2 linked regions of the Lepisosteus oculatus genome follow. The protein of the gene in region 2 purifies or fractionates together with the protein of the main gene of each other region. This does not show direct contact. Links are inferred from orthologs where the notes say so. Each region holds a gene or a part of one and is shown on either strand. Other genes may lie near its edges.

The links. The genes of interacting proteins can lie anywhere in the genome.
Region 1: the proteins of nek7 (region 2) and anks3 purify together in Homo sapiens (affinity purification with mass spectrometry; 3 studies listed by BioGRID and IntAct, with this or other methods). This does not show direct contact. The link is inferred for Lepisosteus oculatus from reciprocal best matches to the Homo sapiens genes NEK7 and ANKS3.

Annotation. Positions count from the first base shown.
Region 1 is NC_090714.1:7,097,197-7,104,647, forward strand, and holds the start of anks3 (ankyrin repeat and SAM domain-containing protein 3), read right to left. Parts: upstream 3,070-7,451; 5' UTR 2,911-3,069; intron 2,878-2,910; exon of another isoform or gene 2,808-2,877; intron 1,995-2,807; exon of another isoform or gene 1,930-1,994; intron 1,684-1,929; 5' UTR 1,680-1,683; coding exon 1,510-1,679; intron 1,331-1,509; exon of another isoform or gene 1,240-1,330; intron 40-1,239; coding exon 1-39. Other genes in the region: dynein axonemal assembly factor 8, read left to right, coding at 4,002-4,127, 6,306-6,413, 6,944-7,451. UniProt on the Homo sapiens protein: May be involved in vasopressin signaling in the kidney.
Region 2 is NC_090704.1:11,709,607-11,716,920, reverse strand, and holds the start of nek7 (serine/threonine-protein kinase Nek7), read left to right. Parts: upstream 1-4,311; 5' UTR 4,312-4,549; intron 4,550-7,314. UniProt on the Homo sapiens protein: Protein kinase which plays an important role in mitotic cell cycle progression. Required for microtubule nucleation activity of the centrosome, robust mitotic spindle formation and cytokinesis.

The DNA.
Region 1 (7,451 bases), on a different chromosome or scaffold from region 2:
CAGCCGCCCCGATTCTTCCCGTTCAGGTCCACCTCCCGCCTGAGCGGCGAAGAAAAAAACGATCAGTCGGCCAGTCGAGATGGAAAGGGTTTCCCTGCGCTCTCGCAGACGGACTTTGAAACTCATCGCTACCAGTTCTGAACTGCATTCTACTCCTAACAGACAGGCAATTTAGGATGACGCCAGACTTGGACCCACAGCTATAAGGTCAATGGAAGATGGAAGGAAACAAGAGCACAAGCAGAAAACATACAAACTTCACACAAAAAGGCACCCCAGCTGTGTTTACCACCAGGGGGCAGCAGTTCTAACCACAAGAGGCTCTGTGCAAGTTCCTTTCCACAGCCGATCCTTCTCTGTGCATTAGTATTAGCACTGAGGCATCGATCCTTAAAATCTTAAGAAGTGTGTCTTACGTGGGATGCCAGTCCCAGATGCAGGGGAGGCGTTTTAAAACGGCAGAGGAAATCTGCTGAACAGAGCTCATTCTCAGAGCTTCCCGTTAATCTACGAGGTTTTAAGCAAGTGAAGTGAACGGAAATAAAGAATCAGTTGGGGAGATTCGTCAGCAGACACAGAGTACAGGGAAACAAAGCTCAGAGAGGGGTAAGAGGGACCACGGAAGAGTTAGGAACTGTTATCAATTCAATTTACCGCTCCCTGCTTCAATTCACACTGACCTTTCAAACTCAGTATGATTGAGGAATTACAGTGCTATCAAAGCAGGACCTAGCAAGACATTTACTACAGAACTGTTATTATTATTTCAGAGACTCACTCTCCTTTTCTCAGACGATCATGTACTGCAGCTCAAGTCTATTTTATCCCCCTCTTCCCCAGTAGGATTGACAGCTCTGATTCGAGCAGGTGTAGAAACGGAAGGATGTCTAATCCTACTGTATTTCTTTCTGGAGAGCAGAAAGCGCATCTCCGTCTCTGCTTCTCCCGGCAGACAGAGAGAGAGAGAGCACATCCTACCCTGCCTTGTGTCTTTTTGCAGGGATTTCCAGGACTCGTACTTCCAGAAAGACATCCGGAACCAAGATTATCCTTACACTAGGAGCACATCATCCATCACAAACCACTTGAAAAAAACGAAGAACGCAGGAGTTTCAAGTCTCAATAATCAGCCAATTTCCTTTCTACATCCTCTCCATTCATTTCCAGATTTGAGCTTTTCACCCTTCTCCTAGACCTCGTCCTCCGGATTTCACTTCATTCAGAAGGGCTCATTCTCACCTGGTCTTTCTTTTGTCCCCTCTGGTGCTGAATATTCCTGCACCTGTTGTCTCTCTCCCTCACGCCTGTGCATATCAATGCGGAATTCACCCCTACTGGTCTGACTGAATGACCTCGATTCCGAGTTTTACAAAGGCAGGTTAAAACGCGCTCTTCTGTGGATGTCTGCTGGCTGGGACAGAATAGCAGAATAGCATAAAAAACAAAAGATCCTCCGATGTCCTACCCCCTCTGGGGCAAGCTTCAGCAACCCCCCGGCCCGACTCCCACCTGCTGATGGACTCGGCCACCACGTCGTACTGGCCGATGGAGCATGCCGTGTGCAGGTCCAGCGACACGTCCAGCTCTTCGGGGTGCACGAGCGGCGCCGCCCCCAGCCACACGGACAGGCTGGCCCCCAGCTGCTCCGTCTCGCTGGCCTCGTCACTCAGCTCCGACATCCTCCTGATGGGGGAAATCGGCCCGTCAGTCAGGCTGCACCTCACCAGGTGCTCTCCCTCGCCGTTACCCCCAGTACCCCCTAGAACCCCCACCTAGTCCACCCACGGGCTGTGTTCATTAACCAGCACAATTACCATCTAGAAGACACTTGGTATACCACCATATTGGCCACTGAGTTTGGCTGATTTTTGCTTTTCCTTTTCTGCTGATTTTTGTTAGAAAGCAGCCTGAACCTGTCTGTTTTCTGAAGCAAGCCTGGACCTGGTTAGTAAGTACAGGGATGGGAGGCACCCAGGAAGAATCAGGATGCTGAGGTAAGAGGTGTTGGTGGACCACTAAGGTGGCACTCTTCCATGTGGACCACAATGTCACAGAGTGTTGAAGAGTCAGTGTGCTAAGTGGGGTCCAGTCAATTGGAAAACGTACAGTTTTTCACTCTCTTAATTCGCACTAAGCCAGACAAAAAGTAACATGATATGAAGTAATTCATATCAATTTGTAGCAATTCCGATGCTACAAATAAAATACTGGCAAGAAGCTTCGGTTATCTGGTCGTAATATTTAGATTGAAGTTTTTTCTTGCTGCTATTTTGTGCTATCAGTGTATCTGTGGTGCGATTTCACACAAATTCAATCATCAGCTTTGTTTGTGAACATCTAATTAACATTTCGGTTAAGAAAAACATACAATTTTTGTGCGACCGTCTAGTCCCCTAGCTATTTTAAGTTGAATGCAGCGCCTGTGTATAGCGGTTGTTTCGCAATGGTTACGTCCCGAGTTTGAATCTGGTCTTAAATGCCGTCTGTGTGGAGCTAGCATGATCTCTCCCTTGTTCGTGTGGACTTTCTCCGCGTATTCTGGTTTCCTCTCGCAGTCTTAAGATTAGCTGTCTACAGTATGTAAACTGGGATCTCTAAATTTTCCGCCTATGTGTACGAGAGAGACTATGTATGCGTGCCCTACGATGGAAAGGCATCCCGTCCAGTACTAATCCTGCCCATTGTGTGTCGGGCTGGGATCGGAGTTCCCGCGACCCTGGATTGGTTATCGGAAAAGAAATAATGGACCCCGAACTAAGTCGAGTCTCGAAGCAAGTGGCTAAGTTTCATCGATTAATTCCATGTACCGAACTCTACCCTCTTGCTGTCCGTCAAACACTTCATCACAAGTGCATTTGATCCGTGAAAATGCTTCCGTGTAGCCTCGAGAAAAAAAAAAAGATTAAATACCTTATCACTCAACTTGCTGTGGTCTTTGTCTGATCTCCACGTAATGGACGTTTCAGGGCTTGCCGATCAACCACTCGCCACCTCAATAAACAAACCCAAGTTACAAAGTCACTCGTATATTTGCACCTTCGCTCCAGGAAATTGCTTTCCTTAAAAGCTGGGATCTGTAGTCATTCCCTTTTCTCACTTTGAAGAACTACAGGGAGGAACTAATCTGCAATAAACTACATTTCCCGTGAGGCCCCCTCGATGACCCTGCGTCATATCCAATCCAAAGTATTTTTTTTGTGACATCAAGAGCCTGCTGTAATATCTTGAAATTAACGGACACAAGGTCTTTTATACGCAATGTAGTTCTGGATTTTTTTAAAGCAATAATAAAAAACAAATAATAATAATAACCTAGGATTTTTATTTAGAAAAATAACTACGAAAGATAGTTTTTTTTGCTTGAAGGACCTTGCAGTGTCTACAACTGTAAATTAGTTTGAGGGTGTTTAATAAAGAGTCTTAAAGGAAAGGAGTAAAATAAATTGACATTCCTTAAATGAAAGACATTGGCCTGCTTAGCCAGCAATAGGTATTTAGCATCTTTATAGTGAAGGAGTAATACATTATCTCTAGAAACTGGGTTTCTATACATTTCCTGGATTGGGAAGCGCAGTGGCGCACCTTGTGTTGCCTTGGTAACCGAGAAGCTGCGCAGCTGCGTGTGTTAATTGCAAGAAGTGACTGCGGCTGTAAGTTTTCTGTTGAAGACTTTCTGCGTGTTAAAACATCGGAAATGCTATCGGACACTTGGGCGAAACACAGCTCATGATATTGCGTCTGTTTTTAACGTGTTGAAGAACTAAGGTACACATCTCGCACCCTTTTTAAAATTGTTTCAACTGCCTGCATTTGCGTCATTCGAGCTGCTCACTGGGCACTTCGTGCTGTCGGTTAAAATGTATGCACTTGTTTTGGGGATGACGTTCGTGGTTAGCACCCTTTTCTTTAACTTTTTTTTGGGGGGGGGGTAGTGTGCAGCAGTTGTTAATGTGGTGATCAGTGTTTTAGGATTTACTGATTTCCTTCGGCAGCTGCTGAAGATGAGCTCGGAGCGCCCCGGTGCCCGGCCGGACTGGGACTCGATATTTGCCAGCGTGAAGGACTTCATCCCCTCCCTCGACTCCGATACCTCCTCCGGAGTAAGACCATGGGCAGCACGATTTACGGTTATGAACAGTTTTGTAGATAAGTTGTGAGACGCTATTATTCAGTAGGACCCTTTGGAGTTGGTAAAGGGTATTGTGTATCGGTATTCTCTATTTTCAGCAATGGGTCAGTATAAACCCGAAGGTAGCTGTCCCCTGTAGTGGTTTACCACTGCAGTATTGTATAATGTATACCTAATACACGAAGTTACTGTGGGTAACTCTCTGTTCAAGAGTTACAGTAAAATGTAGTCTTGTGACCAAGCATACGGTTTTCGACCAGAGGTCTTAAGAGATTGCCCTTGGTTCATCAGTAATGAAATGTTTCACGATTTGTACAATTAATGCACTCTCAGACAGCGGATTGGATCTGGCACAGTTTTCGGTTAACTGCACGTCTCCAATTGCAGCATTACTTCTGATTGTGCGTTTAAAATGAATGACATAAAAGGGATCCCCGTTTTCGGTGTTTTTTTTTTATCTTCACATGACACCCTTTTAACTTTACCTTTCGCCGAGCTGCATCTTAGATGAAAACGTTAAAAGTCTGTAAAATTGAGCAGCGTCCTATTTAACGCCTCAGCTGCTGTTTGCCTCAAGCATTCAAGCAGTTTGCTAGGGACGCTAATTAAATAAATTTCACTTGCCCTTCAATCCTGCTGTTTGTCGAATTAGCCCTCCACGTCCTTTCACTGGCTTTGAAAGAGACTCCCACACAAATTTTTCAACTCGAGCGTGTAATCGTAAGTATAAGGCCTACAATAAATCCGGTTAATAAAACAACACCCTAAACCTAGAAGCCAATTAAGAAATTTAACTAAACCAGAGTCTATTGAAGATTCTTTGACCATTAATTAGGGTTAAAAGGAAAAGGTAACCATGGTTGACATGACTTCGGTTGTTATTATTGATAATGTGTATTTTGGTTGTTTGTGATTTGTTTATGGTGTTTATTTTAAGAACTGTTTTTCAATAAAAAAACAACAACAAATACTACAACATCGAAAACAAAGAGCCTTAAGTATAATTCGAGAAAAATATTTTGTTCACCCTGCCCTTTCCATTAGGGGATCTGTCTCTTCAGATCTGCCACTCAATGCATCACGCCTGATTCCAGCAAACACGTTCTTGTGACCGTCTCTCGCTTACAAGGCAAAACCTAAAAAGGTACCCAAATTAAAAGTTTGAGTAGGGATTTGCGCAGACAGGCTTCTGCTGCAAAAGGAACAGATCAAGGTTAATCTGACAGTAAGGTGAAACGGAACCTCTTGGTTGTTGGGGTTTCTTTACACTTGAAGAAGGCCCAACAATTAAAATCTTTCGCCTTTTTGTTTTCAAGTGTGGAGAAGATGCAACAGCTGGAATGTTGCTTCTCTTTTCTATATTTCAGTGTGGAAGAAACCATTAGTTGTTCAAATATGACCAGCAGCCATATCACCCTGAAACTCCCAGCTAGCAGCCCACTGAAGCTAAGCAGGTGTGAGCCTGGTCAGTACCTGGAAGGGAGACCTCCTGGGAAAAACTAAGGTTGCTGCTGGAAGAGGCGTTAGTGGGGCCAGCAGGGGGCGCTCACCTTGTGGCTCATGTGGGTCCTAATGCCCCAGTGTAGTGACGGGGACACTATACTGTAAACAGGCGCCGTCCTTCGGATGAGACGTTAAACCGAGGTCCTGACTCTCTGTGGTCATTAAAAATCCCAGGGTGTTTCTCGAAAAGAGTAGGGGTGTAACCCCGGCATCCTGGCCAAATTTCCCCATCGGCCTTTATCAATCATGGCCTCCTAACAATCCCCCTCTGTGAATTGGCTTCATTACTCTGCTCTCCTCCCCACTGATAGCTGATGTGTGGTGAGCGTTCTGGCGCACTATGGCTGCCGTCGCATCATCCAGGTGGGGCTGCACATTGGTGGTGGTGGAGGGGAGTCCCCATTACCTGTAAAGCGCTTTGAGTGGAGTGTCCAGAAAAAGCGCTATATAAGTGTAAGCAATTATTATTATGAATCTAAAAGTGTTGATTATGGCTCCTTCAAAACACTCCGAGACTGTTGGGTGATGAACTGAGAATCGGCTTCACCGGGTTGGTTTTTAGGAAAGCGGGTCGTGGTGGCTGCGTGGTAGTACTTGGGGCTGGTGTGGTACCGGCTCCGAGAAACCCAGCTTCTGAAACCGAATCCTCTGGGTCTTGTTCATCTTGCTGCAGTCAGACTGTGAGGAGGACGTGCCGATATTTCGCCGAACACCAGCCACTCTCCTCCCTGGACAGCCAGAGAATCCTGACAGTTTGTCACTGGGGGATGCGGAGGTCGAGGTAATTTGAATGACCCATCATTAGAACGTCTTCATTTTAGGAAGGCCATGAAGGAAATTATTTTGATTCGCACCTCTTTTAAAATGTACCTTTATTTATTTTTAACGCCTATGTACGGCTGTCTATTTAGCTATCTCTGTAGATTTATCTCTATCTGACGAACACCTTTGTCCATATTGGCTTTAGAAGAAAATACGAGTATTTTATTAGTAATAAAAGGCCCAGCAGCTGGAATCATAGGAGCTTCAGATGTAAAGTTCTAAAATTCACATAGTATAACACGGGAGGTATGCATAGAGAAAAAGGCTGCAGGAATGATTTGAACCTTTTCTTATCATCTCTATTATTAAGGGAATAAGATTGTGGTATTTGTGGTAATAACATCTTGCTTGCATCGATACTTGTAAGACTGTTGGATTTGAAGTAAAACATCATTTAATTGGTAGGAGAGCCAGAGGCAAAGGATGTGTTCCTGTTTTCTTGTGGCCATTAAAATAACAGGCCTTTATTGTGTTTTGTCACTGCACTAGGAGCTCTTAGAATCTGTTAGGACGCCTGTTAGGGAGTGCTGGACCAAGGACAATCCATCCCCTCAGAGCACCCAAGATGAACTTGTCTGCAAGATATCTGATGACCTGGTGCCAGGAACCTTTGAAGCTCACAATGTGGCAGCAACAGCAGTGTCAGTGCAGATCAACTCCAGCCTGAGTGCAAGACCAGCTGTAGCAAGGGAAGAGGAGCCAGCGACAAACCATCAAACCAATGCTGACACATCTGCTGCGTTCCTAAGACTTGCAGAATCCCCTTCACTTGCCTGTGTCTCTGTTGGAGCTCAGGAGGGTGAGACATTAGGCACCAGCCAAGCCAGGAGGCCCAGGATTTCTGGGAATTGTGCCACAATACCGAGCTTTCCAGCTTCTGAGATTAACCTCTCTGTGAACAGTGCTGGAGAAGACTGTTCAGTGCAGAACAGTGGAGATGGTCCTGTGCAGGATATGCCTTCCAGGAAAACAAATGTTGAACCATCAAGTGGATTTC
Region 2 (7,314 bases):
ATTGTGCTTTTCCAGTCTTAGGAACAAGGTGTAACAACAATGAAATGCTGGAGAAACAACAATGTAAACATCATGGCAAACACCCACTTTGGTTTTGTTTTAAATCCCTAATGTTAATTCTGAATTTGTGAAAAAAAATCTATGAGGCCACAGACACAAAACTAAAGCGAAACATGACCAATTCTTCTTTGGCATGGCCTAATGAGGTAAATACGTGTTTGACAGAAGATGAGCCCAGCATGCACAAAACCACCACTGCTCGTTTACCTTTAAGCTCCTGGGTGGAATGGGATTTTTCAGTAAAGTACTAACAAGAAGAAATACATGCAGCTATCAGGGTGAAAGTATGCTGCTTTGTAATTGGGATTTTCATGACCAATTCTGCCAGAAGCTAAAAACAGCTGGTAAGAACTTACTTTATCTCTACGCTCAAGAAGATGAAGAAAGCCTTCGTTGCATTAAGTCAATAAAGATCCTTTCCCCAGGAAGCGCAGTGTCCTGGTTTAGAGTTTCTTTTTGAAGGGATGGCTTGTGCACTGCAGAGAGACAGACAGTAACTGCGAGACTTGGGCCTTTGATTTTAGGAATCACTTGAAATTTTGGGAAAACAGACAGAAACCTTACCGAAACAGGCAAAAGAATAAACGATTCGATTCCACTTAATGTTTTTCAGCCTCTACAATATCAGTGGGTATTGATAATTCAGTCTCTGATGTACCCTTGTTTTTTGAGTAAACCTTAAAAGCATTGTTTAAAACATCGTAACACGTTCTGTGTCTTTTAGGAAAAAACTCTTTAATAATATATCAAAACATACTCATAAACCACCACCAGGCTGCATCTCACAGTCCAGATTAAACATGCAAGAAGACCTTACAGTGCTGCAAGAAGTATCTACTTATACAGGAATGATCACTGAGGTAACATTTCACAATTCAACTGCACATCAGGCAATAAGTCCTTTGTTTGGTAGAACCTGGAAGATTAGTAAGAGAACAACTTGAAAAAAATGAAAAAATGGATTTGCAAATTGAAAATAAAACATTTTTTTTCTGTTGTTAAATAGCTCTGTCTAGCTCTGTCTTCATATATACAGTAAAGTTTCATTTGTACCTTGTGTATGTTAAAAACAACATCTATGTTTATAAGCTTATGTTTTCCTTTAACTAGACATTAACAAGGATAACAGAAGTTGAAATCTATCAAATAAATTATTGGACCATAATCGAATATGATATTAAAACCGTGAAAATATCTATAGTCCAATAAGTATTCCATCTAGAAATGAACATATCATTAACATATTATACTAATTTAATTTTCAACAAATAACAAAATGACATTTAAAGCCTTTTAAACAACAACTTAAGTCAACAACATCAACAGTCAGAATAATGTGTGCATCGATTTGAAGACAAAAAGGAATTATACTACTTGAAATCTTCAATTGTAATACCTACTTATTTTTCACACAGTCATTTCAATGAATGGACACAGCAAACTAAATAATGGACTATCAGAAAATATTAAAGTTTACTGTGATAAATGTTATTACTCTGAGATATTCGTTAACTCCTGATGAATAATTTAAGTTTTAAGTGAAAATACAAATGTACATTTCTTAATTATGAGTTCTCAAAGATGATAAAAATTATAACAATTATAACTCACTTAAAAGTGAAAATAGTCTAAAGCTATTCAACAAGATACAAAGATGTTAAATCACGGTCTAAGCAATCAAGACCACAAACAATAATATCAGTGAAAGAAGTTGTGCTCTTCACTTTTAATTGAACACATTTAACCCTTTGTCTGTCTGCTCAACCAAGCAGCTGAGACGTGTTCACCACAGGGTATCATTATTTTGTATGGGAAAATATGAATTCCTTATTTTCTCAACTTTGGCTCAGTGAAGTGTCAACTGAAGGAGTCTGACGTTTTTTTTTTCTGTCTAAATTCTATTTCCATGAGTGACAGTTAAAAGGTTCAGATTTTTTTAAAACTTAAATAAATGTCCAAGGAACACAGAGGGAACTCTAGGATGTGGGAGTAAGCAGCTCGCTCTATATTTAAAGCAATATTTTACTTTGCCCAGGAGAAACAGCCCCAACACATTGCACCCCACATCTTTCCTAGGTGCATGTCCACATACTGTAGTTGCCCATGGTGATGTTTCTGTGCTCACCCCCCAACATGAAGACAAAATGCAAGGAAAAAATAATTGTAATTGGTGTTTATTTATCAGTGACATTATATAATGTGTTGTTGTATGCCTTTTGAATTTAAGAAATTTAATTGGAGCTCTGGGGAAACTCATCAGGTGTATAACAGTCACAATGATCAATACACATTGGTCTTTCTGGAATTGTCTATATAGCCCAGGGTTTCTGAAGTTGATGTGCACTGTTGATGTGCTACAAAAAGCATTTTATGGTTTTCTTAATATACCTCAATTGAAAGGTCTGTATTTTAGTAATTTTTGTCTCACAAAACCACTCATTTACTTCTTCAATCATTGGAATTGGTATTTCTGCATGTACAAAACATACATGAACAAGAGAAGATTACACATTGAATGGAACTCATGACTGTGAACATTAAGGTGGTCATATACCATTCAAACCGTTGGTTTTAAATCATTGTATGAAAACTGTACAAATGAGGCCTGGCATGTGTCTGTTCTGTCTAGTTACAAATTACAAACCAAATACTCAGTACAGAGACTTCATCTACACACAAAACAGAATGCTTCTATCACATAGACTCTTTAGTTTCCAGTTTTTGCAGGCAGCTTGATTTTATTTAGGCCCAAGTTTTAGAAAAAAAATCTCCATAAACCTTTATATTATAGGCTAATATATGATCTCTAAATAAATCTATTTTTTTACAGTTTGATGACTTTTCATATACCCTTTTAATTACTCCCCTAGAAACCAGAAATTTGAAATTGTTAAGACGATCCTTATGTGTACTGTATATAACTGATCCTATTGAAAGAAGAGAGAAAATTGTAAACAATACAATACACACAATGTAGCCTCAGCTATAATCCCTATATATCGCTATCCACACACCAGATCTTCAGATCTTCCTAAAGCCAAACACTAAAGCTGAATGTCAATGGGAAGCATATATTTAACTTTTTAAATATTTTGCATTTGCCAGGTATAGACAAGATTAACAAAAAGAAAGAGATTTCTAATTCAATAGTGTAAATTGTGGGTGTGCAAAGAGTAAAAAAAACATTTGTCTTTGTAAAAATTCTTAGAAACAAACAAAATCTTAAAACATCTGCTTAATGTGTAATGAATATCCATTACATTTTGTTAGATTGGTATTCATGCATCTAATTAATATTTTAATCTACAGTTGGGATATTTTGCAGAAACATTACTCACATTTATGATAGAATGCTAACAGAGATGGAATTAACAAGTAAATTAATGTCACAATCACATTTAAGGACTTGTAGATGTTAATTCAAGTTAACTAGGGAGCAGCTGGTCTCAGTAGAACAAAGATTTCATTAGAACATACAATGGAAATGAAATTTAAATATGGCTTTTTGCCTCCTTCCATTATTTTCTAGTAGAACATAGTGCAGAACAAAGTTTCACTGGATACTAGGGTCACTAGATACATTTCACAATCCACGTAAATTTTAAAGTACTATAATGAAACATTGGTTATGTTGAGTAAAGCGCAAAGTACAGTATATATTACATATCTGACCACAAGTAAACAAACATATATTCTCCCTTCTAAAGTTTTCTTTCATGAAAAAAGAATATGATCACAAGAGATGGAAATATGGTTGTTACGCTATGTCGCTTTATGTTGATGCCAAATATGTTTTTTAAGAAAAGAGCTTATTCTGCTCCTTTATTCTTATTTATAATGGGAATAATAATTTATATTTAGTTACTTTCACTAAATGCCTATACAAGCGTTTCTATTCACACATACTTATGTAAGATTAATGAAAGTTTACAGGCTTTCGTGGACAAAGTGCTGTGTGATTGATTTCTTTTTAACTTAGTCAAACAGAAGAGTTTGCTCCAGGACACTCATTGCTCAGACATCAAAATGGAAGAAGTCTTTTGCCCATAACACTGCGGGTCAACAGATACCGGTAAAGTATGGAAAAAAATGGTATCGTTCTTAACAAACGCACCACACACAGATATGAATGGAAACACCAACCACTTGGTGCTGTCATACAAACTTTTTGAAAACTCGTCACTTTCCCAGCGTTGCGGAGTTTTTGTACAGGCTCAGTGGTGACTTGCGCCCCGCCCCTTTCCTCCGGGAATGCTGGGATGTTTACATTACTGGCACTGAGCAGGAATGGGGAGCAGCTGAGGCACAATCCCTCAACACAAATCACACTTTTCAACTAACTTTAGAAGTTCAGACGGTAAAATTTTAAATCCGAATGGTAGGCTGCCACGCAGAAGCGGCCCACGAACTCCACTGCAGACCTTGAAAAAAGTAATCGAAAAGGCAACCGCCATCAGAAGTCCCAGCAGTGAAAACACACCACTTCCTGGTAAGAAACCCCAAGAAACTGTGAATACGCTTCGCATGCTTGGCTTCAAAAATATTTTCTAAGTGGCCTTTCAGTTTTCTGTGGCGGAAGAAAGTTCATTTCGTGCTAAAACGTCGATGAAGTGAAATACTATCCTTCTTTTTTACTCTGGATCACGTTTTCTTAATATCTAAAAGTTCATTTTTAGTTCACTGTCATGGATTCCCCACTGTAACTAAGAGAAACGGACCTACAGCTACCGTGGTTGACTTACAGACTAAACTAACTTTATAAATGAAGTCCCACCATTCGGTCTGTTGGGCTTTCGCAACGTTTTAGAAGTGCGAATCTTTATCTAGCCACATGTACACTATTTTGCTCACACTGTGCTATTAACAACGATGGTATTTATAGGCCGTATAAATATAAGAGGTGGTGGATATTGTGGACAGCACAGTACGTTTGTCTGTGACTGTGAAAGCCAGTATTGACGCTCTATTAACAATATAGACACACATAGAAAAAAAAACAATATTTCAAGCCTTTAAGAGAGCAGTCTTGAACAGGTTTGACAATAGGGCCATCCCACCCTGATTTCAGGATGACTCATGCATATATCAGCCTAATTCCTTTTTTCTCCTATATTGATATAACTATAGCCTTATTACTTTTTTTTTCTCTCAACTGAACCAAGCAATAGGATAACAGCTGCGGACATCAGGTGGGTAGGGATTAGACGTACTACAATGTTTGAATTTATAAACTGTAGCTCTTGTACATGTATGAGAAAGCCACATGGAAGCAAGGGTTTTCCATCATTGCAAGAAAATAAATCTTGATTCTCCTGTGCTACATGAATAACATAAAATAAATAAAATAAAAAAGGAAATAGAATGTGCATAGTTAAAGCTGTGTGGGGCAGACATATGTCAGTCTTTCACCAATGGGAATGAAAACCATTTTGAGACAGTTCCTGCTATAAACATCTCTTGCACCAATGGGAGCAAAAATCATTTTGTGACTGTTCCTGCCATAAAGGTCTTTTCCACTGATGGGAACAAAAATCATTTTGTGACTGTTTCTGCTATGAAGATCTCTGGGGAAATGTGTAACATTGCACATCAGTGTAGCTTATAAAATTGACATAAACTAGTGATAGTGGCCTTATTGACAGAAGCTTGAGACAGACAGCGTGGAGTGCGAGCAGTTGTACATTCTCAGTGAATCAGGTCATGTGTGACCCAGTTAAACAGCAGATTGTAGGAGAACATTCCCCCTCCCCTTTCTTTCTGCCTTCTTCATACTTGGCCTTTGAACCTATGATTTAAAGCTTCACTGCCCGAGGTCATACACTGAAACGTGTGTTAGCACAAGACAGTTTTATGTTTTTAGGCATTTTCACTTGATCACGTCAGGTAATATCCATAAAACCTTGTGGGAATTCATGATGTCTTCAGGAGAGTTGCAGTTGCAGTGTGAAGCGATTGGAGAGCAAAACTTGCTACCGACAAGAAGAAGAGGCCTCTCAGCCCAAACAGCCCATTTGCTAGTTAGCAACTAATTGGATCATCCCCCAGCCCTTTCTTGATAGAAGCCAGGCTGTCGGCTTCAACAAATCTGATTCTCAGATTCCCAGCTGATTGGGTAGCTTGTTCCATACCCCCACAGTGCTTTGCGTAAAGAAGTGCCTCCTGTTCTCTTGTTTCAAATGCATTTCCATGTATGTTCCACTTGGAACCTTTAACACAAAGCAGAGGACACAAGTGGAAAACTACTAAAATGGTATTCAGAAATTTCAGCAATGGAACACTTAGGTTGTAAGTCAGCTGTTGTAACAATAATGTTTACAGTACTTTAAGAAATTATTCTTTACAGTATAGACCTTAGTAAAGGACCAATTTTATTAGCATTAGCCTGGGAGAGACCAAGACACACACTAATGGTCTGTCTAATGCTGACCACCTCTTTCACTTGCATGTTATTTTGTGTCAGTCTTAAAATCGACATACCGTACTTAGTGTTAAACCCCAGCTCTGAGGGTGTCTGGCCATCGCTGATCACCCTGCTCATCCTGTGCAGTGCTGTTACTAATGGTCCTCTCATGTTAGTTCCTAGCCATGATGAGCTATTTGCACCCAGTAGCCTGCATTTCAACCAGCAACCTGTTTAGGGTCTGTGCTGTCCCATGGGAAGCAGGGTGACCCACATTGTAGATCTCTCTGCAGCATTTTCTGAGACTAGGGTAGTCGAAAAGAGTAACGCAAAACAAGATGAAAATAGCTCAGCCTGTTGATACCCTTTATCGTGGATCTGTGCCTTTAAGAACAACATAAAGCAGATATAAATAGATAATACTTTATTTAACAAGATACTGTAAGTCAGTTGACTAAATTGTTTTTTTCTGTACATTGATGATCTGGTGAAGAGGCTTGCACTAAGGTTCTCCAGAGAATATTTAGAATTGAATATGTTTGCTTAAAAACCTATTTAAAATAAAGTTCCGGGCAAGAGAGATGTTTGCTTTTCATTGGTAGCAAAGGTTGTTAGGCGCAGACCACTTCAGCCATGGCTTGCAAAGTGGTCTGGTTGGAGGCCCCTGGACTGGGCTGGAAAAAGAATTTGTAACATTCTTTATTTTACAGAAATAAGTGGTTGACCAGTCAGATTTTATTCTCTGCTTTCTGACATTCTAGAGTTATTGCTCAATCTTGAGCAATGTTTTTTTGTGATTGTTACCTGGCATCTTCAGCCATTATTGTTTAAGCAGTTATGTATTTTTTTAAAAC